Bombyx mori: one gene and its partners. The protein of the gene in region 2 purifies or fractionates together with the protein of the main gene of each other region. This does not show direct contact. Links are inferred from orthologs where the notes say so. Each region holds a gene or a part of one and is shown on either strand. Other genes may lie near its edges. The genes, in order: AP-2 complex subunit sigma, ralA-binding protein 1 and coiled-coil domain-containing protein 6.

Region 1 (11,683 bases), on a different chromosome or scaffold from region 2:
TCAACAGGACGACTCTCATCCGCCATTTTCGTTAACAACTAACAGTTCCTATTCACCTTACCTTCGTACACCCATTCCACATTGCAGCCAGTTAAGTAGGCAAATCCAGCTTCCTCGATCTAATACTACTTCCTCGTCATACGTCAACAAGAGCAGTAGGTAGTGCTTTCATTTTAATTTTGTCCTTTAATACTCTCACAAATTCTGATATCGATTGGCGCATCCAAAGCCATAATTCAAAACTACCACTCTGAGAGAGGACCGATAGTAGGCTTCACTAAACCACAACATGGATGCATGTTGCGCTGACCCTGATGCCGAGAAAGTGAAAATAAACGAAGTTTTGGAGTTAAATTATATTTTCCTGCTTCTGGGCGGAAATGATAATTTCGTAAACGCTATTGACGTTGTGACTATTTGCAACTGAATTTAGGGCCTTTCTTCTGACTCAGGTCTTTGGTATATTGTAATATCTATCCCAAAATATTAAAAGGCATTACCACAACATGTTCCAGAACATGAAGTCAACATTTGTCTCCACGTATTCTTTTAAACCTAAATATGTATCACAGGTATAAAACGTAGGGTAGCGCAGTAATAAGGTTACGCACAAGAAATGTCCGGCCCGACTCAGACTATTTCGACTAAGATTTCCAGGATTGTTGTTAGCAATAAAACCAGCTTAAGTTTTTAAACGAGACGAGCCACCAGAAATAATACGATTTAATAATTTTAAGGCTTTTTTTGTATACGTTGGATCGGGCATAGTTCTACCACCAAGAGACGCAAATATTATTGATGTTTAAACTATCATGCCTCGATATTTTTTATTGTCTCGCGTTTGAATGCTTAGTTCCAATTAACAGTTGAAATAACCGGATTAATAAGAATAACCTATTATTTAAATACAAACGCGGTATTCGTGTCTACGTATCGTCGTGCAAGCCATTCTAGGTAGTGCGTCTAAGTTCTAGGCCTGTCATTATTAGGGGAGCTAGGAGTGACCGCTAATTGAATATAATAACGTAGACTCAACAGTATTGTTACTGCAAACCAGGTCGGTCGTGACCCTCGGATTTGATGAAGCTACATATTGTATTGGATACACAAGTGAATACAACAATATGCATAGTTGCAGTGATTCTATTGAAATATAATTAAAATTTTACATAAATAATATGCATAAATACAGAATAATTGCGAATCTTTTGTTTTCCGTGTTGGTTCATACAAATTATTTATTCGAATGTAAGCAACCATCCATTCTTAAAATTTATCTGATTATAATTATGTGTATTATTTCCGAACGTGTTTTTGGCTTACATAAATACACGTACATGCTTACATTATGACATCATTAATTTGTAATTAATTGCAAACTGAAAATATTTGAACAATTTTTTATTTATTAAAAAGTTAATTTTTAGTTATTTCTAACTCCGATTAGAACAAAACAGATAATGATAGATGGAGAATTTGTAAGCATGCTGTTTTGGGCCCTCCATTGATCAGAGCCTCAACGAGGGCCCATATCTGTAACCCAAAGGTCAAGACTACCTTAAGTTAGTACACCAAGGAAGTTAATATGTTTTTTGTTTTATCAGTCTTTTGTAACCACAAAACTGTATTTGAAAAGTCGAGAAAAATATTTTATTATTATTCTTGTTTAAAAAAAGTTAAGATACTGAATACTAATTTATATTATTTATATTTGAAAACTTAAATGTATTATGATAATGAGCCACTAAGGTTTTGAAAACGATTACATTTCAGAGGGTATGAAGTCAAACATATCTTTAACATTACAGTAAATGCTTAATATATTTTAGCCGTTAAAGATAGTGACTCCAGTGTGTTATGGAGCCTATATATTGCAATCAGACACTAACGTCTGATGGGGTGTGATGAAAGATATTTGGGTGATGACATTATCCAGACAATGGCTACTTGTATACCATTGTTAGCTTTGAGAAATAATATATTTTTCATATTAGTGTATGTCATATTTCTGGTTTGCTATAGAAAAACTATTCTGTTCAATTTTGCACACATGACATGATATTTTTTTACAATCAATAATAGTTTTTAGAAGCTAATCTTATTAATTTCTTTACTCTCTTTTATTATTTAAAAAAGTTCATGGCCACAAAATAATATAGAAGCAAGGTTTAAAATTAAATATTTCTCATCCTATGAAAATGTAAGAGAATGTGCAATACCTACACAATTTTATTTTTAAAAGTATCACTCAAGCCTGCCATAATTTATTTTTGTAAATGTTAGTTATAATCACAACCAGAACCAAAAACATTTTTTACCGGTAACTTCAACACAAAAACAATAAAGACAACACAATAGTCACAAAATTTAACACAATCACATTTTAAAATATAGCTTTTTATTTATCAACTATTAATTACTTACTTTTACACATAATAAAATACTAAATTGGACAGGACATATCATACAGAAGATTGTGTTTTTCTTTACCTTACGATACTAAATTTATATGCTTTGCATATAATTTAAATTATCACACCGTGCACCATATACGACAATGGCATGACAATTTAAATAATGTTCAACCACTGTGGACATACAACACCTTAAATAATGTTTACCAGCTCTGAGCGTTACTCATTTTGACACAAATACTTAAAGTTAATAAATACTTCAGCTTCTAATCATGTGATGCTCAGCTCATAATCATAAATGCTCAAATTTTATGAGTGACTTAAACTATTCACATGTTTTTAAGTTCACTTTCATTTATTTTATTAACTCATATAAAGCTTAGGAAACACGCAACAGACTAAGCTGATCAACTCTCTACCGTAACGTAGGAGCCCTGCAATATGTCGAGGTTGGTAAAGAAACACTCACAGGAGTTCACTCACAGGAGCGTCGGCGAGTTACACGCTGGCGGCGCGCCCCGCCTGGACCGCCGGCTAGAGTGCTGCTGATTCGGGCGCCATGAGCGGAGACAGAGGGCCAGCAACACGCCGCCCACGCTCCATCTCGAATCGGAGATCGGCTGGTGCACGTCTTCCATTTGAATCCTCCTCAGGTAAGAAAGCGGTCACCAGCAATGCACAAATGACGAGTAATGCACCCAAAACGAATGGTGGCCCAGGAACCAGTAATGCATGCCTCTCTTCAGGAATCCTACCAGTTTTGTTATGACCTTCATTTAAATCTACATGGAAGAGATAGAAGATTACTCCAAACATGGCTGGACCCAGGCCATTACAAAGTCCACGGACTCCAGTTACCATGCCTTGTACAACTCCCTGTCGGTCTGCACGGCTGTTTACTGACACATAAGCACTGATCGCTGGGTATGTGATGGAACCAAGTGCGGCTAACACACCGGCAGCCCACATCATCCACGTACGACTGCCAAATCCATACCACATCAATTGCAGCATCTCAAACAATAGTCCCACCATTATTGTGTGTTTTGCTCCCAGAGACTTCATCAAAAATCCAAGAATAACTTGCACTCCGATGCTCAAAACACCAACAATAGCAATAAATATGGCCACTTGCACTACACCAAAACCCATCACTAGTTTCAAGTAAACAAATATGCATGAGTACTGTCCAGCTTCAGGCAGATAGGAGAGGAATACTGCCACACATAGCATGAGCACAGTGCGCTCAGCACCAACTTTCCTCAGTGCAGCAAAAGGATCTGCTTGTTCCCAGCTGATGACAGGGCCCCAGCCGGTTGGTCTCACTTTCTCTGGGAGGCTCTCAGGCACCGCGACCATAATAAAGAACACGTCCAGTACAGCAACAGCGGTAGCGGCAGCCACGACGAGGGACTCTCCATACAAATCCATAAGGTAGGCACCCAAAGCGGGTGATATGACTAGACTAGCCGCAAACGTAGCGGAGACGAGGCCGTACGCGCGAGACCGCTCCGCTTCGGTCGTCACGTCAGCCACGTACGCGAACACTATCGAAAACGTGACCGCGAACACTCCGCTGATGCTGATCATCGCGAAGAACCACCAGGTATTGATAGTCATGAGCGGGATCGGGGCACATGTGAAGAATACCGTCACCAACAGAAAGAACTTGCGGCCCCACACGTCCGACAGGGCTCCGATGAGTGGCGCGGAGAGGAAAGACAGTATGCCCTTGATTCCCATGATCAATCCGTTCATCAGGAACGTGTGGTCGGGAAAGGTCGCGTTCAGTACCGATATTATCGGCATAGTGAGCAAGCCCCACGCGAAAAACTCCAAAAAAATAACGACCAGAGCGTGAAAAACAGAAGGCTCGCCGATTCCAGACATTGTCATTATCCCGTCTTTCATAACTGTTTTTCTGTTCCGTATCACCATTTCTACTTCGGTTTTAGTGGTCTTCGTGGGCGTCATTTAAGATGTATTCCGTTTAAATAAATAGATGTTACTTAAATTACGGACATTTTGAGAAAACCTTAAGCTCTACATTGGTAAAACTAGATATGAACGAGCAAGTTGTAGCAACGTCAAAATTTTACTGGAAAATTGAAAAACAATTCGATAATTTTGTTGCTAGAGTAAAAAAATTTAAAGAACGGTCGAAAAAATACAATAATAGGCGTAGCCTGGACAGATTAGAGAAGATAAATGAAACATAATTTACTGGTGGTAGGGCGTCTTGTGAGCCCGCACTAACTATTTCTACCGTGAAGCAATAATGAATTTCGGCTTGAAGAGTGGGACAGCCGTTGTATTGTAAAAACTGATTTCAAACTCATGTCTTAAGGTGGGTGGCGGCATTTGAGTTGTTGAAGTTTACGGGCTCCGGTAACCGTTTAACACTAGGTGGGCTGTGAACGCAGCTATCCAACGAAGTAATTAAAAAAAAATGAAAAGTTGATACTCCGAAATATTTCGTGGGTAATGCCTTAATTCATCTTCAAATCTTCTAGGAAAATAATACTTTATCCTCGAAGTAATTTGATCGATCTGAATATTGCATGCAATCCACATTTTAGCGCATGTCTAGTTATTTATAAGGCTTAACTCTATTTTTATACAGTTTATATATGTACAGATTTTTAGTAAATATTGCAATTGTGATTGACTGATATTTTTTTATTTAATACCAATACGTTTCAATTCCTCAAGAACGGGCTTCATTGACCGATTAGTTCATATCTATTAAAGTCTACAAAATAAAAAGTTTTTTTGCCACTAGTTCCAAAAGCTACCAGTAGAAACTCGACACTTTTACGTTGGAGAAGTTACATAGACATATATCTTCTCGTGATGTAATTTTCTTTGAATAAAAGTTTAAAAAACATTGCGCAAATATATCTAAATTAAAATGTAAATGCAACTACCAAATTTTTTACTTAATAGCTTATTCTTTGCTATCAATTGCTTACTGTGATTACGTACCAAGTAGTACTCAAGATAGTCCTCCATAATAGTCAATAAAATAAAAAGTTCGTACAGAACAAAGAGAATATCTCAAAGTAATAAAATACAACTAAATTCAAGATTATCAAGGTTTTCCCTTTCATTTAAATGTAGTAGGTATCTGGTTAGTCTATCTACGATTTCTTGACATTTTTCACACTGCTGCTAGTATGATTATAGATAATACACATAGTATTTGAGAAGTATGATGGTAGCATAGATAATACCGTGCACTGAATGGGAGAAGGTTGAATTTTGTAGCTGTCAAAGTTGAAATCACTGAATTTCAGATAAAGATTTCTGATTACTAGTTTTAAAAAAAGGAGGCGTCAACCCGTCTTTGAAAGTAATATTTAAAAAAAAAGCCATAACTAAACGTGAAAATGGTATACTTATCTCATAAAAAAATATTATTTAGTTCATTACTTGCGTGTAATAATTAAAAATTATTCTAAATTCCCAGATAAGATTCATTTTGATCCAGAACCGAGCAGGCAAGACTCGACTTGCGAAATGGTATATGAATTTTGATGATGACGAAAAACAGAAGTTGATAGAAGAAGTGCATGCAGTCGTCACCGTCAGAGACGCGAAACACACGAACTTTGTCGAGGTAACTTTATAAAGCCTATTTTATCATTAATGACCGCCTAAAGCTTTCTGTCTGCTATAACTCCTTGAAGATATCCTTGGTCACTTGGAAACAATACAGATTAAATCATACTAATCAATATAAGACTACATGAAAGAGTATAGTTAAAGTAATATTAAATGTATAATTGCATTGAGTGTGCACAGGAGTCACTAGGGTCAATTACGTTCCTCCCTGAGATGGTTAATAATATAATCAAAAACAGCTTTTTTTACTGCTTGAAGTGGTTGGAACAGTTCCCTTGCATGCTACACATGCTAAAAAGTAGCAAGCTGAGAATCTTTGAGAACTTCTTTTTCATTTGTATTCTGTACAGTAATTGTTGTTTTGTTGAAAATATTTGGAAACTCTTGACTATAAGTTTGCATCAAAATTGCTGGTATTCCTCAACATTGAGAAGCAATACTTCATGCCTGGATACATAATTTTTCTTTACAACACCCTAAGTCTGGTCTGGTGTGGAGTACTGCTCCTATCTTTGAGCTGAGTCTCCCAAATATCAGCTATGTCCATTGACTACATACAGAAGAAGGCTGTTTGGATTGACGATAATCCCAGTCTGACCGCTTGGAAAACAGGCACTGTGGGGGAACTACAGTTGTCCTTGTTTTATACTGTGCATTCCATGGGAGTACAATGAGGAATAGTTTGAATATTTTCCCAAATATCATCTAACTTTGGAATTAACTTCTCTTCTCAGTGTTGCTTGAGTGCTGTAACATCTTTCTCAGTACTCAGCTATAGGCAGTGAATTGGTTGTGATCCTGGCATTGTATCCATGTCAATGAGTAACAGTAACCACTAACCATCAGGTGGGCTGTCTATCAGCCTATAAATAAAAATTGAAAAAATTACCTATAAGATGCTACAATGTTTGTTTAAAAATAATCTAATGTCTACCACTTACTCTTTCTATTTAATTTTCATATTGCTGTTAACTGTGTTGGTGTCAACTATTCAATTTATTATTTTCAATACACATTTTGAAGCTGCTATTACACCTGTCAGATATCTATCTATACAAGAGTGCTATTATGTCAGTAACATACAGGATTTAATTATTTCTATACTGTTTTGGGTATAACATAACACCCTTTAATCAACCGAAAACATTTTTTGTTGTTCTAGTGGGTTTATATTTTGTCAAAGATGTGTTACATATATTACATTGCAAAATATTAGTTATCCTGTGAGGAGTTCCTAATACTTCTGTCTGTCTTGGTTTTGAGAATTCTTATATATTTAATATCAATATAATACCTATCAATAGCTTAATAATTTTATTGAATATTAAACTATTCATATGAAATTCATACAATACAACAATATCTCTTTTCTACAGTATAGATATACAAAGATATGTTATTCTGTTTACAGTTCAGAAATTTCAAGATAGTATACAGGAGGTATGCAGGTCTGTACTTCTGTATATGTGTCGATGTAAATGATAACAATTTGTGTTATCTCGAGGCCATACATAACTTTGTCGAGGTCCTAAATGAATATTTCCATAATGTTTGCGAGTTGGACTTGGTCTTCAATTTTTATAAAGTAAGTGGAAATACATAAACTGTTATATTTAATGTGGACATTCTTAAAACTGCTGTCAATTATTTTGTGTTATATTTAATAGATAAAAGAAAGAAATTTTTAAAATCAAGATGGGTTGTTAATACATTTCAAGTGGCTTATGTTATAAGTACCTATTTTTGACAAGGTTGATTGGGGTAAAGTGGTCATCAAAGGGTACATTTTGCATGTTTTGATATGTTTAAAGCTAAATTCGATTCTGTTCGTATTTTGTAGTTGTAAAGTTGATAAAAATTTCTTTGAGCAAATTGTAATTGATTAGATCATCCCTCGTGTTTGCCACACACGCCTTCGGCTCGGGTGGCAATTTTACACGCGGGAGGAAATGCCCTACTTTTCTCCCTTGGTGCACAATGTACTATTTTTCCTACCAGGCCGAAAGTTCGACATTGTAAAAAACTTAGCACCCGTGGAGTACCGAACCGAGTTCCAGGGCCGAGGCCCTGGCGAGAGGGTGGGGGGGCGGAGCCCCCCACTCATAAAAAAAACAATTCCTGTTTTTTATTTTTTAAATAAACTACTACTAATTGAATAAGAACTGTCTGATGAACTCATCTTTGCTTAATACTTCACTATTAAATTTTATTGCCTTTTGTTTATTTCACTTTTACACTAAACACAATATTGCAAATTACCCGAGCACAACAATGGCGAAGAATTTTAGGTGCGTGAGAGCAGACGTAGACACTAACGCACATGCGCACTTGTCAGTACCCAGGGAGGAAAAGTTACACTTTCTTCCCTGTACAGCGGGAGGAAAACCGAACTTTCGGCGTAGGTAGGAGAAAAAAATAGTATGTGCACTGCAGGAAAAAAGTAGGACATCTCATCTCGCGTGTTTGCCATTGCAATGGCATGCCAATTTTACACGCGGGAGGAAATGTCCAACTTTTCTCCCTTGGTGCACAATGTACTATTAAATTCACCAAAACATGGGAGTATGTGATGAGCTGATGCTAACGTTGTCTTTTTTTCGTTTCACTGTAGAAATAGGTGCCACCCCATAGAGTCTTATATATCTCTCTCGTACCTTACTTTATTTCGAACTAGATGACCCGGCGAACTTTGTTTATTTTTTTTATTTTTTTTTTTTTTTTACTTTATTTCGAATTAAGTTTAACAATAAACTGTATGTCTTCTTTCAGGTGTATACGGTTGTAGACGAAATGTTTTTGGCTGGTGAGATCAGGGAGACATCCCAAACTAAAGTGCTCAAACAACTCTTGATGCTGAACTCCTTAGAATAAGTATTTGTGTTATTCTTAGTATATAATATGTTCTTGTAAGCTTATGTTATTTTGTTTTATAAATTTTAATCAGCTTTTATTTTACATAGATACCGAATAACTTGTGAGTTAACGTAAAAGTAATGTACATTTTTTGTATCGATAACAAGTTTTATAAGTAAAAAACGATTGAAATCATTTTTCACATGCCTCTTCTGTGCACTTATTTCAGCAAGTTCAGTGGTGAGTACTGTATGGTGAGGCGACGTCTGGTCATTCACCAACGTAGCAACATTGACAGCACCTTCATTAAATCTGTTACATACAACAATAAACGGTATTCTTCGATTTGTAGATTGATTTGTTTTTAAAATTATTGGCTCTACCAGGATGTGTATAGTCGTCCAGCCTGGCTACGCTGCAAAGCAGTCCTGCATTCCAGTGTGAAAGCAATTGAAATGTCGACCATGTTTCAGAGGCTTGCTAGAGATCATGTGGTTAATATATAAAATCCCAGGTATATTTAATCCAAGATATTTCAAAAAATGTGTATTCAAAATTAATAATTGTTAAAGAAATCTTTAAAATATACTGTTCATATTAAGATTTCAAATGTTTTAATGTTATTTTGTATATATGTGCGTAAATATCAAATGGCTTTCTGAATTTAAGATCTGATTATTTATCACGACTTTATACTTAAAAAGCTTCAATGAAATTTTTATTAGAGCAATGTACATAATATAGCAACACTCGTTTTTAACATTATTTTATCAGTGTTGTCATTGTGAATATAATTTATACACTACCTACTTTACTTTGTCATTCCTTAAAATATATAGAATGGTTTAAATTATTGTTTTATTGGTTTTGTTTTTTATTTTCCTCCGCTCGACCGGTCTCCGGCGTGAAGCCGTTTGGCCATAGGCCAGGAATGGGCTGGTTACGATAAAAATTAGTGGAAATGTCAAGTTAGTAGATAATATGAGATATTTGAGTACCCTAACTTTAACGAAATTACAAGCTTGAAATTACTTGAAGTTGTTTTTTTTCCTACCCGTTTACTGGTAGCCTAAGGGGAGAGTCACACCGGAATGGCAGCGGCCAGCAGCGTCGCGGCGAGCACTTTCAGTGTGAAATAATTTTAAACTTTGTCTGTATACTTAAAAGACCAGTATCGCTTGAAAAGCTCGCGACACAGCCGCCGCTCGCCCACGGTGAAGCGAACACCCGCGCGCCACGTGTGTCTTGTCGGACGTTCTGCCAGCGGCGACACGAGGCCGCTCGCGACACCACAGTCATATATAATGACCAATTCCATCATGTTAACTACAAACACACGAGTATCATTGCCGAATGAAGAAACTAAACTAGTCAAGAGGAGACTAGGCGCGTGCAGTCTGGAGGCCGCGCGAGGCCGCCAGCGGCGACGCAGGCCACTGCCATTCCGGTGTGACTCGGCCCTAAGGGGCTATACCAGCTACGCCCTGGACAGGTAGGTGAGCTCACGGGCTCAACCTGAGAGAATTTGGTAACACTGGCCAGCAAGAGCAGTGCTTCGCAGATTCTACCACCGGATCGGAATCGCGACCCATTGAGATGATTCAGCGAGAAACTCAGTGCGTTGTGTCTGTGGATAAAGTTCTGTGTCAAAATTATTACACAGATTATGAAAATCCGGTCGATGCACGAGCAGGAATATTTTGTGTTATTGGAATCGCTTGCATCACTTCGAGATCTAATATAGAGTTACCCGTATATCAATACGGCACGATCACCACTGCCGGTGACCAAATAAAACAATACAGTCAAAATCTATGTTTATTAAATTAAAAAAAATACAAAACATTGATTATTCCTAACGATTTAATAAAGTTATAATAGACATACAGTTCTAAAGTGCTATGTTACTGATTTTAAAAATATTATGTTTATTATTAAATAATGTTTATTATTGTTATTAAACATTCATCTTATGCCATATAGATATAGAGTTTAATTTAGAGTGCGCTTTCAACGAAAACATGTATGTATATTCAGAATACAAGCAGCTCGTTACTGTTGACTGTTCGTGAGACTATCCCCACTCCCAGCGGTGGAGCAAGGGTGGGAACATCCACACATCGGGGTGGCCCACGTGAGATATCTGCGGACCCATGTCGAACTTACTCCAACTGAAATCAACAATTTTGTTAATAATCGAATATGTGCCTCAAATTCACAAATTACTTCAACGAAGAAGAAGAAATAAATAATAGTTTAAAAAAACTAACAAAATACGCTTTTATAGAAAATCCAACTAAATAATAGAATATAAATTTGAATAAATTTGAATTAAAAATAGTGTAAGAAAAGATGATTTTATTGAAAAAAAGGGTTGGGTGCTTTTCAGGATATTATCAAAATAACCCTTGTACTCATATCTGTTCATAAAATATTTATAATAATTATTTTTAAATTACTTATTTCTCATTTTTTAGTTGAATTTCAATTTTTTTAATATTTTTTTTTCATTTTTTTTTTAAATATTGAGTTGTCATCGGTCCTTAATAAGTTTACAAAATTTCGTTTTGAAGGGGGTCAAAAGCATGTTCAAAGATTCCGTTATATACTAACATAATAACATACATACATACATTAAAGAGCCCGCAGTTTTTATTTATTTTCGTAATAATTGGAGGTCCGGTATGTTCGAAGGGCGCGCTGGCCGATCTGTGTGCTTAGTGCAAGTTTTTTAACGTTCTCGATAGCGTAAAAGTTAACTTAAATTTTTATGCAATTGAAACAGCGCCCCT
Region 2 (11,674 bases):
CAGTTTTTTGTGGTTCACTGACGACTATATGAATGTTACAATTTTTATTGTCTATAAGACAATGAAAAACTCAAAATTAAACCATAAAAGGCGTTTTATTCTGTCCGAGACTTGCGAAATCTGAGGAAAATTTGTTCCATTGACTTTAAATTTTGTAATAAGTACTTATCAAGGAACGATAACAATTTAAAATTTTAATACTTTAATCAAGTCCTTGCGAGAATCGCCAGGTTAAAAAACATTACTAAAACGCATTTTTAAGGTTTTAAACTACAACTCAAACATCAGACTCACCTCACACTTTCTAACTGCTCAATCAAAAATTTACTTTCTTCGTTTATATTCAGTCCGTTTTGTAATGATTTAATCTCATCATCTTTGGCGTGTAACATACTTTTCACTCTTACTTTATATGTCTCCCAATCTTTTTCCAATCTGTGGCATTCAGCATTCGACTTGCCTAAATTGTATTGTAATTCAGTTATGGTTGATTGTGCATGCCGTAACTCGGATTCTAATTTTAAATGGGTCGTTTCTTTTTCATTCGTTTTTTCTGTAAGCTCTTTTATCCTGAAAAATTACATAGAAAATAAAAGGGAATTTAAAAAAGTGTTTTGTCTTTGCCAATTTATATGTGCATTTATTGAATAGTATGAAAATATCTATCCCACTCAAGATAAGGTTGGCCACTACACGTGAAGCATTTAAGACAAGGGTTCAAGAACTGTTTCTCAGAGAGTTAGCAGAGTCAACTAATTGATATTTATTTATATATATTTATATTAGTATATATTGATATATATGTATTTATTTAAGTATGAGTATTTGTGTCTATAAATGTTATGTATGTTATATATATGTTTAAGTACCTAATATTCATCTCTGCATCCCCCTAAGGTAGACTGTCAGAGAATGCCCATGGCATTAAGTCCACCTATAAACTGTCAAGTATATAAAGTTATAAAGAAATATCTATAGAATCTGAAAACCACTTAGCACCAGGTCAGTCATGAACTTGCCTATGAATTATAAAATGAAAACAAACATTTTCCCCTGAATATAAACTTTTACTTCTATACCAAATTTGATAATTGATTCAAACCTATCTTCTAATTCAGTATTTTGATCCTTTTGCGCACACAGCTCATTTTCCAAAATCCGAATCCTCTCTTTATGATTAACAACTTCAATGTTCACCAAATCATCCACTTTTCGCTTTATCTGTTCCAGTTGAGCTCTCAATGAATCTTTTTCAGAACTAACATCATTATTTTCTTGCTTAGCCAATTTAATTTCAGTTTGTATACTATTGAATTCTGTAAATTAAGACAGGTTTTAATTTACGAGTATATGGATAAGAACGACATATGGCATATGTCACCAGAATTAATAAATTTCACAACCAGTCTTCAAAACTATAACATATCACTTAATTATGCTATTCTACAAACAATAATTAGTAATACTGTATATCAATTTATAAAAGAATATTGAGAAATAAGCATATTTATTTCACAAACAAATCAATTTCATAAATTTATTATAAATTAAAGTTACAGAATTCACCAATTTAAGACTTGTAAGTCTCTATAATTCAAATAATTGACTACAAAGCATACATACACAATTTCCAATCAATGCAAAAAAAAATTAATTATTCCACACTTTGTAGAACATAAAACAATTAATATGAAGCTGTTTAAATTGAAATACCTGCATGACCATTAGCTACTTTCTCTACTTTATTACCATCCTGTGTTTTGCGGAGTTTCTCAAGCAAATCTGCGACTTCTCTATTCAACACATTGAGTTCATTTTTCAACATCACATTTTCAACTTCCAAATTTTGCATTCTGTACGTCCATTCTTCATCACTTACTATTTCTAGGTCAACTGGCAAACTATGTCCTGAGGACAATGTTTTAATTGGGTTTATAGTTTATCAAAAGGAAATAATGATAATATTGCAGGTATACTATCTTGATTTAGCTCAATACTAAATGAATACATTATATGCATTGTGTACATATAGTAAGAAGCAGAGACCATGACTTCTTCATGACTTTTCAACCAAATTCTTTAAGTCATTAATGTTTCATTTATTGTGAAGGCCTATTATGTATTTTTCTAACACGTATGGAGCTTATGACTTATGCTGATTTAAAAAATATTAAACAGCAAATATGAAACAGTTAATCAATATTTTTAAACACTAAGAAACAAGAAAATAATACTTTGTCTAATTAACATGGACAAATGCTATTAATTCTAGTCTTGATGGGATTAATAAAGTAGCTTCCTATATCAATTTTTGCCTGATTTTAATGCACAACCATTCTTAAGCAAAACACTGCTGGTTCAATTTAGACCACCAGTCTACCAAGCAATATCACCCACTCTGTGGAAGATCATCCATTGTTTACTGGTGGTAGAACTTCTTGTGTCCGCAAGTGTAGGTACCACCACCCTGCCTATTTCTGCCAAGAAGCAGTAATGCATTTTGGTTTGAAGGTCAGGGCAGCCATTGTACCATTAAAAGTGTGAGACCTTAGAACTCATGTTTCAAGGTGGGTGGCAGCATTTACATTGTAGATGTCTATGGGCTCCTGTAATCACTTAGCACCAGGTGGACCGTGAGCTCGTCCACCAACCTAACCTATAAAAAAATTAAAAATAAGAAAAAAATTTTATTTATTTATTTTATTGTCACCAGCATCTCCAACTATTTTTAATTGCAGAAACTTGCAACCAACGTTAACAAATTTAAAATACTTACTTCTTTGCCTCAAACCAAAATGGTCAGTATTGCTACCTTTAGTATCACAGACTAATGTATCAGGACAGTTGTCCAAGGTATACTGGTTAGATTTTTTTAAGGGTTTCTTCGTTTTTACAACTCCATTTCTTACTGGCTCTTGATTGCCTTTTACAGGAGATTTATTCAAATTCTGTATAGGAGAAATCTTTCGAGCAGGAGTGTAATTTGAACGTGGCTCGGGAACGGGTGAAATTTTCTTTAAATTTCGTGGTATTGGCCTTTTTCTTTGGTTCCAGGAAGGGTCTGGATGTAAGATAAAATCGGAGTTTTCTTGTTTACGTGCCTTCACAACATTGTGATTGCGTAGGGCTGCTCCTGTTTGCTCGTCTAAATTATTAAGAAGTGTCTCAGCTTTTCCAGCTAAGTCCGCAAACCAAGCCATTTTAATTTATTTTTTGAAAGCCTGAAAATTTTTCTGCACAGTAAATTATTAATAATCTTAATTCGAAGCGATGATTACATAATTATTATATTTTTAATTACAAAACAGAGACTGATCGAGATTTATGTACCCAAATTTTGCGCAGTTTTACACGTCTCGTTTTTAGTGATAATTTATGAAGAACATAAACAGTCATGACGATCACAACTGTAGTGTGTTTAATAAGTAAATTTTGTATTGTTTATAAAATCCATAATACTGTTTAAGTAAGCTGTGTTAAAATTAAATTTTATCAGAAAACAATTTAGAGCATTATTTAGACACGTAAAACTTAATGTCAATTTGATCTTTTCGTTTTTTCGCACATGAGAGCAAAGGTAACTTGCCCAATCGCATCAATTGCAACACGCATCAATTGCATGTGAATACTAGCTTTTGCCCGCGACTTCGTTAGCGTGGAGTAGTTACTTTGGCATAACGCTAAATTATACCCACCTCTTCATTTAAGTAGAAAGTGAAAATATTTTTGAATAATAGAAAATGTTAAAGAGCTATTTAAAGTACCAAAATCACGCTTTTTAACCGACTTCAAACGAGGAAGTTATCAATTCGACCATAATTTTTTATCTATGTATGTTCACCGATTTCTCGAGAATGCTTGAACCAATTCTGATAATTCTTTTTTCTTTTTTTGTTCGAAAGGGTATACTTCCCGAATGGTCCTGTATTCATCAAGATTTAATGATAGGATCCTGGAAAAATCTAGAAAAATCTATAATTGTCAAAGCCTATCTTGAAGTGATTTGGGTGTTTCAATGTTGTAATGAATAACATATTTGTTTGGATAGGGATTAATATAATCTTTATAAAAACACCTTCACAAATAATGCTTTATTTTAGAAGAAACTTGATTAGCATAAAAAACGTAATAGTGAGCCAACCTTTAAATATACACATATGCTGTTACGGAATTTTTTTTTAACTTTTAAAAGAGAACACTTTTGTCATACATTATTTTAGCGTAACTTTAACCATTTCCGCAGCGCATGCAGCAGAACCTCTCAAAAGGGAAAATACCACGATTTAGAAGCATTCTTTATTGCTGCTCCGCTTGCATTGGTCTTAGCGTGATGTTATATAGCCTATAGCCTTCCTCGATTAATGAGCTATCTGACACGGGTTTTTTTTTTTTTTTTTTTTGTTGCTTAGATGTGTGGACGAGCTCACAGCCCACCTGGTGTTAAGTGGTTACTGGAGCCCATAGACATCTACAACGTAAATGCGCCACACACCTTGAGATATAGTTCTAAGGTCTCAGTATAGTCACAACGGCTGCCCCACCCTTTAAACCGAAACGCATTACTGCTTCACGGCAGAAATAGGCGGGGCGGTGGTTACTTACCCGTGCGGACTCACAAGAGGTCCTACCACCAGTAATTACGCAAATTATAATTTTGCGGGTTTGATTTTTATTGCACGATGTTATTCCTTCACCGTGGAAGTCAATCGTGAACATTTGTTGAGTACGTATTTCATTAGAAAAATTTGTACCCGCCAGCGAGATTCGAACACCAGTGCATCGCTCGATACGAATGCACTGGACGTCTTATCCTTTAGGCCACGACGACTTCATAAAAAATTTCTCGCCGGATCTTCTCAGTGGGTCGCGTTTCCGATCCGGTGGTAGATTCTGCGATGCACGGCTCTTGCTAGGGTTCGTGTTAGCAACGTCGTCAGGTTTGAGCCCCGTAAGCTCATCTGCTAGTTAAGGTTACGCCGATATAGCCTCTCAAGGCTCTCAGCTTAGGTAGGAAAAAAAAGATCGATTTATTCGACACTCGTAACTATTTGATAAGATTATAAGGATAAATTCTAAGACGGAAGTTAAAATATTATTTTACGCTGCTCTGTTAAGTTTGTTACCGAAAATACCATTGTTCAAACATTTTATCAGGTATGTTTAGGTACAGTGCATGGATAATACACTGAATATTTAATATTTACATTATTTTATTTAAGACGGGTTAATTTTTATATAACTTACTTTCTCTCTGTTTAAAAAACCTGAAAAGTTCTAAGAAGATAATATTATTTTAATGGTTACATTACTTCCTTGAGACTGTGTGGGCTACGTTCCCTTTACCTGTCGAACTGAACAAAATAAACGAAAATATTTATTTTTTTTAAGAGATTTTATGACCTGGTAACTAAGACCTTTAAGTCATGTCTTATTTTACTTTATTTTCTTAATTTTATGAAAAATGATAATATGGAGTGAAATGAAATGAAGATGATTAATTTGAGACATTAATCAACTGGGATGAAATTTAATGAAATGAGATGATATGGGATGAAATATAATCGCAGTAAAATGGTGGTCATTTACTGAGATTTTTTCAGTGGACTTTTTGGAGGAACCCGAGAAGTTACGTCCAGCAGCTTTGTTTCATTTTCCCACATTTGTGCACTTTCACAGATATTAAACAGTTAATAAACCACCATTATTACACATTTAAACCTGAAGAAACACTAAATAGACAAAATAAAACAAATCACACAACTTCACTCCTCGCGTTCCCGCCAAAAAGTCCAACGAAATTATGTGTTTGTTTGTGTAGTGCATAGATTATACACATAAGTGTAGTGTATTATATATTGGTATTTTGTAATAATTTATAAAAATATAATAATAAACGAAAATATGTACAAATAAACGACTTATTAAAACAAAGTGACATACCAATAAAAATGGATTTTGAAAGTCCAGATGTTGAAAAGGATTTCCCCGGTTTATACGCTTCAGAAAGTGGACGTAAAAGCAATGAAAGTGACTGTAAGTATTATCTGTTTTTGTACACAATTTACCCAAAATTGTGAAGCACAAATCCCTACTATTACGAAGTTTTTAAACTAAATCAAATGAAAAGGATATTTTTACAATAACAAGGTAAAAATCTTTAACTCAATAACATAAGTGTCTATTTCTTTTAGTCGGTTTTATTAAATTGCGAATAATCGAAACTTGTTGATACATATTTATTTTTTAAATTATAGTTAGCGATGGTGCAGAACACGAAAAACCAAGTAAGAAAGACTTGCTAGGACGCAGGAAAGAGAAGAAAGAATCTAAAAAAGATAGAGGTTATGCAGCACTGGAAGGAGAGAGTTCACCTGAAGAAGACACTGATACTAAGTTAGTGCATTAGAAATGTAACTTAAAATTCAATTTTCACACTCAGTTGTGAAGTCCTGGTTTCAAACAAATGAAACACATTAGAATAATATGAACAGCTTCGAGAATCTAATGACAAAATGCCAGTGCATACCTTGTTACTAATGCTGCCAAATTCCTTATCCTTCCTTATCTATATACTCCAGTAGTTCCCGAGTAATATACTTTTTAAGATTAGATTGATTTTATGAGTAAATGTGTGCAGCAATATCTTGTAGTGTCTAAAAAGTTAAATAGTCAACAGGTGGGCTGTGATAATATGATTTGTTTAAATCTGTAGAAAATAAAAAAGTCAATGTTTGACTGTGCTTCATCGTCTTTGTAGGAGAATCCTTTTTTTTTTTTGCTTAGGTGTACGGACGATCTCACAGCCCACCTGGTGTTAAGTGGTTACTGGAACCCATAGACATTTACAACGTAAATGCGCCACCGACCTTGAGATATAAGTTCTTAGATCTCAGTATAGTTACAACGGCTGCCCTACCCTTCAAACCGAAACCCATTACTGCTTCACGGCAGAAATAGGCAGGGCGGTGGTACCTACCCGTGCGGGCTCACAAGAGGTCCTACCACCAGTAATATAATTCTCGCATAATGCACTTGTATGACCACATATAACATGTTATGTACAAATTTAATATACATAGAAATACAATACAATATAACCAATGTTTTTACAATTCTAAAACTAGGAACACAAATTTAATAAACAAATTATACTTTATTTTGTAACAACACAATTGACACACTTATTACAGGTGGTAGAACCTCTTGTGAGTTTGCACGGATAGGTACCACCGCCCTGGTTATATCTGCTGCTAAGCAGTAATGCACATAACACCAGGTGGGCTTTGAGCTTGTCTACATTTCTATGCAATAAAAAAAAAGGGCAATGGTACTTGAAATTAATTATGATGTAATGAATCATATGATAATGTAGAGTAAATATTATAATGTACAAATCATTATAAATTTCACAGGACTGAAATATAATATGTGAAATCCCCAGGTTATATGCTGGAATACCCGTGTTATAAGAGAGACTGAAATCACCTATTTTAAGAGTATGTGTTATAAGGGGATTACTGTATTATGACATAAATTATTGACTATGGTAAAAATAGTCACGAATACACATATACATGCATAACAAACTGTAGTAAAATACTTAATTAAAGTCTTCTTATGACATCAATGACCTGATTGCTAGGCCTGGTCAGTCATACTCCATACTTTATGTCTAATTATCATCTTTTAATAAATTGTTGATGGAAAGGCCCCCTGAGTTGCACAATATATTGACAGACCTTGGAAAGCCACATCATTTTCATTACCACAGGCTCCATTAACCAGTCAACAAGATATGGGACGTCAACTTGAATAACTATTTATATTAACCATAAAATTGTTAATAATATAACAATAACAGAGCATTTGTTCTGTATATATATTCTGCGTGAGTATTTATGATAATAATATCTATTTAATCCAACAGAAGTCCATCGAAATCTAAGAAGACAAAGTCATTCAAGTTCCCAACCAAAAGCAAAGAAAAGCGTGAAAAATCCCGAGATAAAGAAAAAGTTTTAGAAGAAACAGTTAAACATAAAGAAGTAACAGAAAAAGATAAGAAAAAAGAAAAGGAAAGGGAGAAAGAGAAGAAGGAAAAGGAGAAAAAGAAAGAAAAAGATAAGGTAATAATATAAATTTTAATGCGTAACAATATGGTTTTAATACACGGTAATAATGCTGTTTGACCCTTCCAACCATGACTTGACCATCTTGACAACTTCCAGAAACTAACTAACTTTCTATAAGCATAACATGACTGTCAAACGTTAGTTGACATGGACCACTCATGGCTAATTTAATTGTGAGTAATCACCCTGGCTCATTGGCGTTCTACTGAGGACCCTCGTCAACCATAAAGAAGGACATGTTGTCAGTATTAGAAGAAAACTTAGTGAATATTCATACCGAAAAATAAAGTGAAAAAGACATGAATAGCTCAGTTATTTATATTTTTATTCCAATCTATTTAAGATACAGTAGTAGTGCAGGTTAATGATATCAGTAGATATTATCCACGCTACTGATTTACAGCCATTGCATCAAACAGAATAGACCTTGATGGCACAAACAGAAATTTCCCTGAATTGCCAATGATCGTATTATGTTTCAACTCACATAGACTAATGTTTGTGAACGCATAAAAATAAAATTTTAATATTAAGTCTCTTTAATTTGCCAAGAAGCCCACCTTATGCGTAGTTTTTAGCATCCCATATTGACTTATCAACACCAGGTACACAGGCAAACCGCTGACCTTCGAATTCAGTCTTGACTTTAAACTAGTCTTCAATCTGCACAAAATGGCTAAATAATATCCTTTATATTTGCAACATGCATCGAAATACCGTGACTCATTACTCTAAAATAATTCGTTACCACCTTATTGCCAAAAGGGATAATAAACTCATAATTATCCGACTTTAAAAAAAAATATGTATATTTATTTGTACAATATGAAATGACTTTATATTGAGAGTACCATTCACTTTATTTGTTATTCAAATATTCAATCTTATTTACTCAATACTAAATGTTTCATTTTCGCGCTTCAGCGCTTGATACCTTTTTGCATAATTTTGCGGTTGCCTTTATACGCTGGCCAATTTGCGTTGACACTTGGTTAGCGAGACCGTCATTAGTACACGTGGGTCTATGAAAATTATAAAGGTTGTAGGTGTTCGGCCTTGGATGGATGTGGTCGTGTCATGGTTTATTCAGTTGTATCTTGAAATCGCGTCATGCATCACCTACGTAGCGTGTTTACGAAGGTACAAAATCGATTGTTAAACAAACTTTTGTGTGTTACGCGGAAATTTTATTAATGTTTTATTTACTTCATGTTTTTAATATTCTAATAAAGATATCGAAATTAGTGCTACATAAAATGAATAAAAATGAAAACGTAAACAGACAGTAAAATGAATTTATAAATCAACTGTCGGTGCATTTATTGAAAAATATTAAAGTCCGTCATTGGTGTTTGAAAGTGAAATATGTGTAGTACTTACCTACTTAAAAACTTAACTTGATAAGTTAAATTTAATTAATATCAGTGTTAAAAATATTGCACAGTTAATTAAATCAAATCAAAAAAAATCAAAAAAAAATTTATTCAACATAAATGAAAGTACATACTTGTTGAACGTCAAATATCGGTAATGTTTTCGAAAAGACATTTGTGTCCTAGAACAATATCCGCGGAAAATTTGTGTAGTTACCTGCATTTTATTTTATCGTAACACAAGATTATCAGTGAACAAACAAGTTTTAAACAAACAAGATATATATTTAGTCTAATGTCCGGTGTTTTAATGTATGTCATCATAATGTGACTTCAGAATTTTGTTTGCAATAACAAATAATATTTCGCAATTATTTCGTAAAGCTACGCTCACTCAAGTAAAATGAAAATCAATTCTGGTTGTTGTTTATTGAATTATTGTTTACTGGTGGTAGGACCTCTTGTGAGTCCGCACGGGTAGGTACCACCGCCCCGCCTATTTCTGCCGTGAAGCAGTAATGCGTTTCGGTTTGAAGGGTGGGGCAGCCGTTGTGACTATACTGAGACCTTAAAACTATATCTCAAGGTGTGTGGCGCATTTACGTTGTAGGTGTCTATGGGCTCCAGTAACCACTTAACACCAGGTGGGCTGTGAGCTCGTCCACACATCTAAGCAATAAAAAAAAAAAAAAAAAAAAAAAATTAAATTAAAAAAAATAACAAGTAGAAAACCAAAACCGAAAGAAATGCATTTGTTTGATATATGTACAGACGACTGCACAAGTACATGGACACCACCTTAAGGTCTATATTCGCTTGAACACGCCGTTTCTCTTTTTCCGTTTTGGTTTGAATCTGTCCGTGCACCTTTGCTGGGTATAGTACATAATATGTGTTCGTGTTTCCATTTTGGCGAAATTGCAAATATCTTTCAAACTAATATATCATCTACTGACGACTCCCAACAGGCTCCAAACGGCGTCTTTGTTAATATTATATGTACGTCAGTTTGAGATGATCCCCTCATCTCCTTTTTATCATCGCACATCCCGCCATCGGAGCAGAGTTCATCCATATCATCTGGAACCGCTGCGTTCATCGACAGTGCGTTTCCAGAGGTATTTTTTGCCACGTACCACCCGGCTATGGAATGAGCTCCCCTCCACGGTGTTTCCTGAGCGCTATGACATGTCCTTCTGTAAAAGAGGCTTGTGGAGAGTATTAAGCGGTAGGCAGCGGCTTGGCTCTACGCCTGGCATTGCTGAAGTCCATGGGCGACGGTAACCACTCACCATCAGGTGGGCCGTATGCTCGTCTGCCTACAAGGGCAATAAAATAAAATAAAATAAAAACGTTAGGTCCACATTACCAGAGTTGACTTTCAGTGAAATCGAATGGCTTAACGATACGGGTCTCGTCTCGAATCCGCGATCTCGCGATCGATTGGAACGCAAAATGCAATTGAGTCGCGTGTGCGTTTAAATATAGGCCGTCGACAACCCAATCCAGTAACAGACCAAGTTATTTATTTTAGGTGAGATTTGAGTATGTCAGAACCAGATGTTAATCCAGACCAAACTAGGTCACCTATTTAACGTTTATATGATTATGTACTATTTAGTTGAACGTAAAACGCATATATGTGAAGACTATCGCGGCTTAGATAAATGAGCTAAACCTTGATTGAAGAATTTCTTTTATCTCGCCTTGTATCTTGTATGCGTTGCACATATTTATCTGTTTGTTGTTTACAGTTTACAAAACGTCGTATCTATACAAACATACAAATCGACGCTTGAAATGCAAACGTGACTAAGCGACAATAGCTGCTTTGTACATAAATGATAGGCAATAACCATATTCGATGCGCAAAAAAATATATATTTCTAGGTCTATTAAAATCATTTCAATCCTACAGCTAGATTATAGCCTACAGCTAAGTATATTTTAAATTGATTTCAACTTTAAATTAGTCTACTGTAAAGTTCACGCAATGCCGCTTAGTCACGTTTGCCTTTCAAGCGTCGATATGTATGTAAATATAGTTGTAATCTTCGAAGTGTGTTTAATATCTTTACGCACGGTACGTAGAAAACTGAAAATACATTAATTTCACCTTACTGTTTCGTGAAGTATATAATAACTATGATCTTAATACCTAAAGTAGTT
Region 3 (10,918 bases), on a different chromosome or scaffold from region 2:
TCAGTAATTGATGCTCTTTTTGTTAGCATTTATACTTGAAAATAAGAAACCTACAATAATTAGATTAGGACTACTTTTGTGAGTTAATATCACATGTCTTTATTCTTACCAAATTTGAATTGTTTTTAATTCATTTCACCGGGAGAATTATCGAGATAGATGTTCAAGTGTACTAGTATCTAAAATATTTCAGTTGAGACAAGAAAAGTGTCGTCTTGAACAAACATTGGAACAAGAGCAGGAATGTTTGGTAAATAAATTGATGAGAAAAATAGAAAAACTTGAGGCTGAGACTCTTGCAAAGCAAACGAATTTGGAAAGACTGCGTAGAGAAAAGGTAACATGATAATAAAATATGATAGTTTAGTGGTTTTATTCAATAAGTAGTATAAGAAGTATTGCTCAACAAACCGAATGGACATGCAAATATCTATATATTAATACGTGAAGCAAAAACGTTGTATCCCTTTTTACTAAACTTGCGCGGTCGGAGGAGTGTGAAATTTTCCACACTTATAGAGAATATAGAGAAGAAGTGCACAATGGTAATATTTTTTTTAATAATGCGTAAATGATACATTAAATCAATAAAGAAAACATTACACACACTACATACCATGTATTTGACGCCCACACGCATGTATACTATTTATTGTCAAACTTTTGTTCTTGACGTCTGTTGTCAAATTGAGATTAAATGTTGTTGTTGATAAATTTGTTAATATTTTTTATAATGTAGTCTTGGCGAAATTTGTGATTATCTAATATATAAAATTCTCGTGTCACAGTTTTCGTTGCCATACTCCTCCGAAACGGCTTGACCGATTTTGATGAAATTTTTTGTGCTTATCCAGTATCTATGAGGATCGGCCAACATCTATTTTTCATCCCCCTAAATGTTAGGGGTAGTCCACCCCTAAATTTTATTTGTTATTTTTTAAACAAAAATTTTTGTTTTTATTTTTTTATGATACAACATACAAAAATACATACAACCCTAAATTTTCACCCCTCTACAATCAACCCTTATTTTTTATTTGCTAATTAAAAACTTTAAAATTTTTTGCGAGAATTTCGTTTTTATTTTGTCATGACGTAGAATAAAAAAATTCATATTACTCTGAAATTTTCACCCCTCTACGATCAACCCCTATTTTTTATTTGTTAATTATAAACTTTAATTTTTTTGGCAAGATTTTCATTTTTATTTTTATTTTGTCATGAATTAAAATAAAAAATCTGATGTTACTCTCAATTTTTCATCCCTCTATGATCAACCCCTATTTTTTATTTGTTAATTATAAACTTTAATTTTTTTGACAAGTTTTTTATTTTGTTTTGTAATGACTTAAAATAAAAAAATCACATTACTCTCAATTTTCACTCTTATACGATCAACCCCTATTTTTCCATCCCGATTAATATTTTTTTATATTCTATGCACAGATCGGCAATAGGGTTGCAAGATGGCAATCAAATATTATAATTGTAGGACGATAAATTCTTATTCAGAGTTTATAATTTCAAGTTCCTTTAATTATGTTTTTTTTTTAATTGAATTTGATCTCCCGCCCTCGCCGGTCTACTACTAATCAACTATCAATCGATCCCCGCCAGGAGTCACCACTCATCCAGCAAACATCACGTAGTAGGGATGAGGACGAAGCCGGTCTCCTGTCCTACTTACTCACTATACATCATAGATTATACACTTAATATATTTGAGAGCTATACAATACTATACATTTTTCAGCCATGTTTTTTTGGTTTTATTTGTGTATCAATAGTATGTTCAGTAGGTCTGAGAATCGGCTACTATCTATTTTTCATACCACTAAGTGAAACGGGTTGTCCACCCCAAACATTTATTTTTTATTTTAATTTTTTGGATATATTTTTTTTGTTTATAATGAGGTATTATGTGGTTAAATGAGGTTTTTTTTTCTACAGTAGAATTTCCCTAGAAATCTTATTTAAGGCAACACAACGTTTGCCGGGTCAGCTAGTAGAAGTATAAAATACAATCATAATAGTGTACAAACTTACAATTCCAATTAATTATAGTCGAATTTCGACTACTGCGGGACCTCTAGTTATTGTTAATTCTACAGCACAAAACCTCTAATTAATGAATTAGCAAGAAAGGTCGAGTTTGAAGTGTCTAGTTGTGTAGTCAGTCTTATATCAAATGTGAAATTAGTCTGCATTTACTGATTAGACTATTGAAACACAACTATCACTAATACCTTTTTGATGCCATCAATTACCATTAGACATCCTTTAAATTCCTGCTTCACAACTTTATGTTGATGTTGTGTTGGAGCCTAGCCCTGAGTTACGTACCTTTGTGCACCATTTTACGTTTTATGTATGGAATATTGCTTAGAAAAATTATTTTGCTCAAGAAGATTAACATAAACTTAAACATTAATTCTCAACAAAATATTCCAGGTTGAATTAGAGAATACATTAGAACAAGAGCAAGAAGCGCTTGTGAATAGACTTTGGAAGCGAATGGACAAGCTAGAGGCTGAAAAACGTTCGCTGCAGATAAGATTGGATCAACCAGTTTCCGATCCCGCAAGTCCTAGGTGAAAATCTTGATATAATTATAAACAGACATGCATTGTATTTTACAAAGTTTCTTGACTAAAAAAACTTTAATCGTTTAATTATATGTCTTACAATTTCAATGCTTCGAATACATATATTTACTGTTTTCTTATATGACCAAATTTTTTTTGTCAACATTTGCATTTATTCGTTGTGCCAATTAGTACCTAATATGTATTATACCATTTTAAACAAAAAGAAGTCGAAGCGTTAAACGTATCTGATATTTTCGAAACAAGCCAAATCGCCTCCAATATATATATCTCATTAAAATGGCAACCTGATTTGTAGCTATAGCCCGTTATAGATTGAGATCAGCACCAATACAACTACAAATGCTCACTAATACTGAACAAATTATGTATTAGCGACGACTGAACATTTCTTAATTTTCCACAAAAGAACATCTCTATTGTAACTACAACTAAAACAGTTAAAACCAAGGGATATCAAAATTAAATATCCTAAGGCGAATTTTTTTTTGTAGTTAACTTTAGTAGTGTTCATTTGGCTATACTTTTGTCATAGAAAGGTTGACTCAATATTGTCCCACCTACATTTTTCATCTATCAGGCAGGATGGTAGAATCAGTAAAGCCCAATATTATATGAGTTAGGTAAAAGCAATAAAGAGAAACATTATGCTTAGTGCTGCAGTCGAATGTTCATGACCCTTATCTACCCTCTTACTGAGAGTACAGGGTATAAGGTAACCATGTAGCTGAACAGTTATTATGATATTGCTTCTGAACAGATTTGTTGATTCACTACATTCTTCGTAGTGTAGCCGCATTACAATAGTATTGTGATTTCCACCTTCTAAATCGATCTGGCTGACCAGATCTATGGGCATCATCCACTTTTCGTGAGAAAGCAATCTGAAGCTTGTTAACATTACATAATCTGTGTTACGTGCCGTAAAATATGTTTTGGAAATTTATACCTATTTAATCTTTTGCATACAATGAACCAAAAATGTTTGAGTTTAGTTTATTTATTGAACTTAGGATTTTTCTTTAAAAAGTTCCAATTTCTTTAAAAAGTTCCAAGTGTTAATTGAAACAACCGAAAAATTGTATATCAAAATGAACTGGATATTAAACAATTAAAGTGTTTTTTAAATTGTTTATTAATTTGATTTACTTTGCATGATTGATTGCCTTTCAATCATAACTTGAATTATAATAATACAATACAATAAAAGCTTCATATTTTATTATTTCTTTATTTATTTATTTATTAGCTTATTCAATTAAATATACCCAATAATTTTGCTTTAAAGTAAACCATATTATTATTTGTTTTGAATTAACATAATGCATAGAGATTGTATCTATATTTGTTCACTGTATATTATATCACATCTTTTTGTTTATGTGTAATTAAACATGTTTGTCACGATTAATGAATGCATATTCTTGCTAGGGACATTAGTAATGGTGACACAGCATCTAATCTCAGCAATCACATCCAGACCCTTCGTTCTGAGGTCGTCAAATTAAGGTAAAAATTTCATTTACATTCATCAAAATGTTATCTAATTAGCACGTAACTTATGCAGGCGCTGTAACTTTATAACACCATTAGCCCGAGTTATTGTATAATGGCTTAGGTCGTATCATAAGCCGTCGCGAATGGGTACCATTATTCTACATGTTTGTTTCGGTCTGAAGGATAAGGTAGCCTTGTTATAACAGTATTGCGATTTCCACTTTTATTTCGATGTGGCCGACAGCTTTCATTGTCTATGGACTTCTGTCCAACGAAACACGAGATGGACGGTGAGATCAGCAGTCCGTCAATACAAAAAAAAAAACTTTTAAACATGACGCTATCATATTTAAAGGTCATAGACATAGTCTTTAAGTTACTTCATAATTTTATTCATATTTTCGAGCCGTGTCAACGCAATTTTACTAAAAGCATATGGTGTTTTTGTTGATAGGTGTTAAAAATCTCGTAAATCTATTCAGTGCCGATTGTCATAGTTGAAAAACCATAGATCAATGTACTGACCATCTTTTACACAATTTGGCATAACATGAGTTCGAGCATTTTTCCTCGCAGGTTTAATATAATAAGCGTGAAAATAAAACGCAATTCTCGAAAAAAATGAAAAGAATAAAAGCAAGGCTTCGTTTCGTCTTCCATTTTTACAGCTTGAATGTCTTTACTATTATAATTTTTTTTCAAAATACAATGGAATAGATTTTCATTTATATCCGTTTATCAAATTTACACTAAAATGACGCTGTACTACTATTGTGTTCATACATCTAAACCTCACGTGCGATTACTTCAATTCAGTATAGAAATTATTCGTACGCGCTAAATGAGTTTTAAACTCGATTTTTTTATATTGCGTATAATAGTGAAAGCTCTCCCGGCCCACCTGATATTCAGCTGTTATCGGAGACTGTAAACATCACAATGTGAATGCCGCCACCCGACTACATATGAAACCGAAGTCTCAATTGTTTAGTGTAACGGATGACCCATCCTTAAAAACGGACCTCGTGCACTGTTTCGCGGCAGAGATAGATACAGCGGCGGTACGTACCCGCGCGAGCTTACATTACGCCTTGTCACCAGTAGTAAATGACATAAAAACTAGTTTTATATAAGTGAAGGTAAAGGTTTCGATATTAATACTGCCAGTTCTTTTTCCGCAATATATCCATAAAATCACTGCCGGCTCTATCTATAGAGGTTTTAGTTATTCAGCCTTAGTTATTTATGCTCTGTTTTTCTGTGAGCACACAAACTGCATTAAAACCTGTAATAATGTGTACGTTATCTTAAATTTACAGAAATCAGTTGGCGGTGTCACAGAATGAAAATAAAGAGAAGATGCATCGGTTTGCTTTAGAAGAAAAACACATTAGGGAAGAAAATATGCGTTTGCAAAGGAAACTCCAGCAAGAGGTGGAACGCCGCGAGGCGCTATGTCGCCATCTGTCCGAGAGCGAGTCTTCGCTGGAGATGGAAGAAGAAAGGCAATTTAATGAAACTTTCGGTGTGAGTTCGTCGTTCATTATTATTATTATTATTATTATTGCAAGTGGACTTTTTGACGGGAACACGAGGAGTGAAGTTTTGTGATTTGTTTTATTTTGTCTATTTAGTGTTTCTTCAGGTTTAAATGTGTAATAATGGTGGTTTATTAACTGTTTAGTATCCGGGAAAGTGCACAAATGTGCGAAAATGAAACAAAGCTGCAGAACGTAACATCTCTGGATCCTCCAAAAAGTCCACTGAAAAAGTCTCAGTAAATGACCACCATTTTACTGAGATTATATTTCATCCCATATCATCTCATCTCATTTCATTTCATTTCATGCCATGTTTCATATTAATCAATTTCATTTCATTTCATAATATAATTTTTCACGTATAAAAGTTTTCATTAAAATTAAAATAAGACTTGAAATAAGGTTTTAGCTACCAGGTCATAAAATCCCTTAATTTTTTTTATTGCAAGTGCAAGTTTATGCAAGACACATTTTTAATAAATTCATCATGGTATCCTAACGGTAACTGCGACTTCGTTCGTGAGTATTTTTTTATCCAGTGGTAATAAAATGATATAACGGAACCAAATATTCGAACGTGTGATACCGCGCCCGCCGCCGCCTTACCCCCAGCTGAAACAGAGATCTCTGAGCCAGAAAGCACGTGCCCTAGGCGCGCGCAACGACGACCGGCAAAATATTGTAAATCTTATCTTTTCTCAACTCAGTTTGTTTTATTTTAGTTATTGTGTCGCTTTTCTATTAAAACCTCATACACCTCAATGTTAACATCATTTCCATATCTTCTTCGCAAAAACCCCCAAACACCAAACACTCAAAAACTCAAAAGCCCAGCCAGTCGGACTTTTAGTGTTAAAATGTAGCAAAAAATATAATGAAAAAATTATAGTTTAAAAATAATTTTAAATTTTAAAGTTTCGGTATTTAATCTATACATATAAATAAAATTAGAGTGTCTGTTTGTAGTATTGAAATTAATTTTTTAGTAGAAGTAATTTTAATTAAATTAAATTAGAAGTAATTTTTGTCTGTCTGTCTCTCTGTCTGTCTGTTTGTTCCGGCTAATCTCTGAAACGGCTGCAGCGATTTTGACGGGACTTTCACTGACAGGTAGCTGATGATATAAGGAGTAACTAAGGCTACTTTTTTTAGAATAGCATCGCCCCGCGGCCTCACCCGCAGTTATTGTCGTACCGCGCGCAACATGGCGGGCTTCGCCTATCAATAATGCAATTTAATGTTTCCGAAGCAAAGCGAGGGCGGGTCGCTAGTTTGTTAAATACAACGCAAGTTGACTAGCCCGTTGAACGTTGGGTTTACAATACAGGCGCGGTCACGCAGCGTGTCGTCGCCGGGCGGGTCGCGCCCGCTGTCGCCATACGCCTCCCCCCTGCTACCGAGCGGGGCCGGTTTGCGCCCGGGACTACACCTCAATGCACAGGTATGTAAGCACCGTTTACAAAAAAATAACATCACATCGTAGGTAATAATTTACTGGTGGTAGGACCATAGATAATACACATAAATTAGTCTGTGGTTTTAGAAGTCGTCGTGGCCTAAAGGATAAGACGTCCGTTGCATTCGTGTCTAGCGATGCGACGGAGTGTGAATCCCGCAGGCGGGTACCAATTTTTCTGATGAAATAAGTACTTGACAAATGTTCATGATTGACTTCCACGGTGAAGGAATAACATCGTGTAATAAAAATCAAACCCGCAAAATTATTGTAACTATACTGAGACCTTAGAACTTATAACTCAGGTTGGGTGGCGCATTTATGTTGTAGATGTCTATGGGCTCCAGTTATCACTTAACACCAGGTGGGCTGTGAGCTCGTCCACCCATTTAAGCAGTAAAATAAAATTTAAAAAGGTTATAGATAAGCAACTCGAGCACTCAACCAAAATGTTTACGGGCGTCGACCACTAGATGGCTTCGCTTCGATTAGTTTCTCATTCCTCCTGTAGATGACAGTAACATTTACCTATCCTATATTTTATTTTTAATGAAGGATGTTGTAAATTTTCAAAAATCACAAATTTTAATCAATTTGTCTATAATAAACAAAGACTTACATGATTTTTATTTTTTTTACTTTCTGTGTTTAGTTATACATTAATTAAATGCCTTAACTTTAACAACATATAAGCTTAGGGGCATCCGCTACAAGACATCGCTAGTTTCCCTACAAAAAAAAATTGTCTTAAAGTATTGCAGTTTCAAGGCCCTGGGGGTAGCACCTCTTGTGAGTCCGCACGGGCTACTGGTGGTAGGACCTCTTATGAGTCCGCACGAGTAGGTACCACCACCCTGCCTATTTCAACCGTGAAGCATTAATGCGTTTCGGTTTGAAGAGTGGGGCAGCCGTTGTACTGAGACCTTAGAAACGCATTACTGCTTCACGGCAAAAATAGGCGGGATGTTGGTACCTACCCGTGCGGACTCACAAGAGGTCCTACCACCAGTGATTACGCAAATTATAATTTTGCGGGTTTCATTTTTATTACACGATGTTATTCCTTAACCGTGGAAATCAATCGCGAACATTTGTCAAGTACGTATTTCATCAGAAAAATTGGTACCTGCCTGAGATTCGAACACCGGTGCATCACTCAACACGAACGCACCGGACGTCTTATCCGTTAGGCCACGACGACTTCAAAATTATATGTATTAGTGACATAACAAATTTACGTGGCACAGGGTCGTCGTCCGAGCGACAGGTTCGTGAAGCCCGCGGTGCCGGCGGGCGCGCCGCTGCCGGGGCGGGAGGCGGGGGGGCCGGCGCCGCCCTCGCTACTCCAGCCCGCCAGTCCCATGGACACCTCCTCGAAAGACTAAACGCGCCGTATGATGCGGGACCTCACGCGTCTACAAACGCGAAGAAACCACAATCCTCCTCGAGCCTGATTCCTACCGCGTTGTCCCGCCTCGCTTCGACCTCGATTGATATTGATCGCGATGAACGTAAACTCATTTGCTGACTTGTGACGTTTCGAACAGCGCTGCCCGTTTGAAGGCGCGAATTTAAATTGCTCACTGCCCGCGTCGATCGCGAATCCGCTATATATTTACATATTTCTTTGAAAGTACATATACGTTGTTCGTTTAAACTTCTTCTTCTTAGTCGCGTTTCGAATTTATAAATTTGTATTGAAATATAAATCGAATAAAAATATGAAACGTCAATTTCCCATTTATTAATTCGCTTGGAGCTTTATTATTATACCCTATGAATGACAAAATTCTGATTTCAGAATATATGTATAATCCATTTTTGTGTAAAATTTGTCAATTTTTATGCGTTGGCCACGATTGGTGAAATTATTCAAAAACGATAATTTGTAATAAAAAATACACGTGATGAAGACTCCATGGTCGCCTTTTTTTCAATGGAAATGTTGATAAATTATTAGAACTGTTCGTAATTTATGAAATACACTTAATAAATAAAAATAAAGAGATTTTACGGTATTGCTTTCTAAAACATGATTGCTTCTGAGACACGTAGCTTAATTAAGGTTATAAGGCAGCTTAGAGTATTTTGGGCGGAAAAATTTAAAATTACATTAAAATGTAATTTAATATATCAGTTTCTGTTTTAAATTGTAAATAAAAGACTATCATGTTAATTAAAATCCACCACTGAATACTGAGGTATTGGAGTAGTCTTCATTAACTTTGACACATTATAACGGACAGTGTAGTAAAAAAAATCGGTCAAATATAAATTAAGTAGTGTTAAATTGCAGACGATGTAACATACAACATAATAAAAATGACCTGAAGCGCGAGATCCATGGTTCAGATACAGGACATACTCCGACATGTATTGTAAATATCCATACTAATCAATGTATATAACGCGAAAGTGAGTTGGTTTGTTTGTTACGCTTTCACCTCTTAAGTACGCAACCAATTATCATTACATTCGGCATATGTGTAAGGTTACAGAAAAGGGCACAGTTATCTATCATCTAGAAAAAAAATATTAATGGAGACACGGGTAAAAGCTAGTAATTAAATATTCATGATCTAATAGTGATAATTGGAATGAAGTTTCTTAATTCAGCTTGCTCTTGGAGTTGATAAAAATCGTTACGTAAGAGAAAAACGTTACGGCCCGCCGTGTGACTTTCTGTCCCCTTCTATCTCTATCCCTTTCTATTTTGCACTTGTTTGTGCTTGCTAGTATCGAGGTCGGAGCAGACGAGCATTATGCACGGCCGATTGTATATGTACCCTCAATATTAAATTTGATATTTCGTTGTTGCAAATTTAAAATCTCTTATGTGAAATTTTGCGCCAAAAATAAATTATCATATAATTATTGTGAAAGCTATTCTTTGCTGAGTATAGGTAATACTCAGCAAAAACTTAAATGTGCATATCACAATATTTCACTTTATTACGCGTCAATCTTAAAAAAACCCTAAGTGTTAGTTTGCATTTTATTGTAGATCAAAGTATTCTAATATATGTGCTAAAAATATTGCATTTTTTTTTCAGTAGGTAGTTTTATTAGATTTTCTCGAAAACTACATTTATACACATAAGAGATTTCAAATTTGCAAACGACGATTTGTTTTATTTAAATATAAATTCAGTACTGTATGAAACATTATCAATTAATATTTAACCTAAAAAATATTATATGTTTTTTTTTATTAAGAATACATTATGATAATAAAGATTTTCGTTCCGGAAAAGGGTCTTCGAACTCCACCCTTTTATTTATTTATTTATTAACATAAATCGCCTGGACTTGCTAAGTTTTGTTCTTTTCATTACATACACATTTTGGTTTTTCTATATTTGAACGAAATGAAACAAAGTTGATTAGTATGAAATTAATTATGGAATGAGTGAGATGGGATGTTATGAAATAAACTCCCAGTAAAATGATTAAAATACGATGGACTCGTTTGAAGAACCCAAGAAGCCACATTTTCCGGTTTGTTTCATATTAACTGCACTTATGTATTTTCAGAGATATTAAACGGTTAATAAGACACAAATATTAAATGATAAATAATAATAAAAAAATAAATTGGCAACATAATATAATTCACAGAACTTTGTTGGTTAGCTGGATAGCCTTGAGGCTATTTCAGCGTAACCTTAACTAGTAGGTGAGCTCACGGGGCTTAAAACTGACGACGTTGCTAACACGTGTTCCAGCGAAAAAATCGTATAATAAATGTTATTTTTCTTCTAATATACTCGACTACTTTCGGCTACGGGGCGAGCCTCGTACACCTCGTAATAAATCGA

What was found.
Region 1: the proteins of ralA-binding protein 1 (region 2) and AP-2 complex subunit sigma purify together in Homo sapiens (co-immunoprecipitation; 3 studies listed by BioGRID and IntAct, counting the BioPlex papers as one, with this or other methods). This does not show direct contact. The link is inferred for Bombyx mori from reciprocal best matches to the Homo sapiens genes RALBP1 and AP2S1.
Region 3: the proteins of ralA-binding protein 1 (region 2) and coiled-coil domain-containing protein 6 purify together in Homo sapiens (affinity purification with mass spectrometry; 3 studies listed by BioGRID and IntAct, counting the BioPlex papers as one, with this or other methods). This does not show direct contact. The link is inferred for Bombyx mori from reciprocal best matches to the Homo sapiens genes RALBP1 and CCDC6.

What each region holds. Positions count from the first base shown.
Region 1 is NC_085131.1:677,354-689,036, forward strand, and holds AP-2 complex subunit sigma, read left to right. Parts: upstream 1-5,623; 5' UTR 5,624-5,803; coding exon 5,804-5,806; intron 5,807-5,883; coding exon 5,884-6,033; intron 6,034-7,449; coding exon 7,450-7,623; intron 7,624-8,807; coding exon 8,808-8,909; 3' UTR 8,910-9,741; downstream 9,742-11,683. Other genes in the region: hippocampus abundant transcript 1 protein, read right to left, coding at 2,949-4,388; putative phospholipase B-like 2, read right to left, coding at 10,966-11,062. UniProt on the Homo sapiens protein: Component of the adaptor protein complex 2 (AP-2). Adaptor protein complexes function in protein transport via transport vesicles in different membrane traffic pathways.
Region 2 is NC_085113.1:5,999,227-6,010,900, reverse strand, and holds the start of ralA-binding protein 1, read left to right. Parts: upstream 1-5,450; 5' UTR 5,451-5,948; coding exon 5,949-6,033; intron 6,034-6,254; coding exon 6,255-6,393; intron 6,394-7,927; coding exon 7,928-8,126; intron 8,127-8,266; exon of another isoform or gene 8,267-9,242; coding exon of another isoform or gene 9,243-9,272; intron 9,273-10,379; exon of another isoform or gene 10,380-11,498; coding exon of another isoform or gene 11,499-11,588; intron 11,589-11,674. Other genes in the region: golgin subfamily A member 5, read right to left, coding at 295-570, 1,103-1,316, 1,714-1,908, 2,777-3,200. UniProt on the Homo sapiens protein: Multifunctional protein that functions as a downstream effector of RALA and RALB. As a GTPase-activating protein/GAP can inactivate CDC42 and RAC1 by stimulating their GTPase activity.
Region 3 is NC_085128.1:8,920,146-8,931,063, forward strand, and holds part of coiled-coil domain-containing protein 6, read left to right. Parts: intron 1-193; coding exon 194-337; intron 338-2,451; coding exon 2,452-2,591; intron 2,592-4,037; coding exon 4,038-4,115; intron 4,116-5,422; coding exon 5,423-5,630; intron 5,631-6,971; coding exon 6,972-7,085; intron 7,086-8,347; coding exon 8,348-8,485; 3' UTR 8,486-10,918.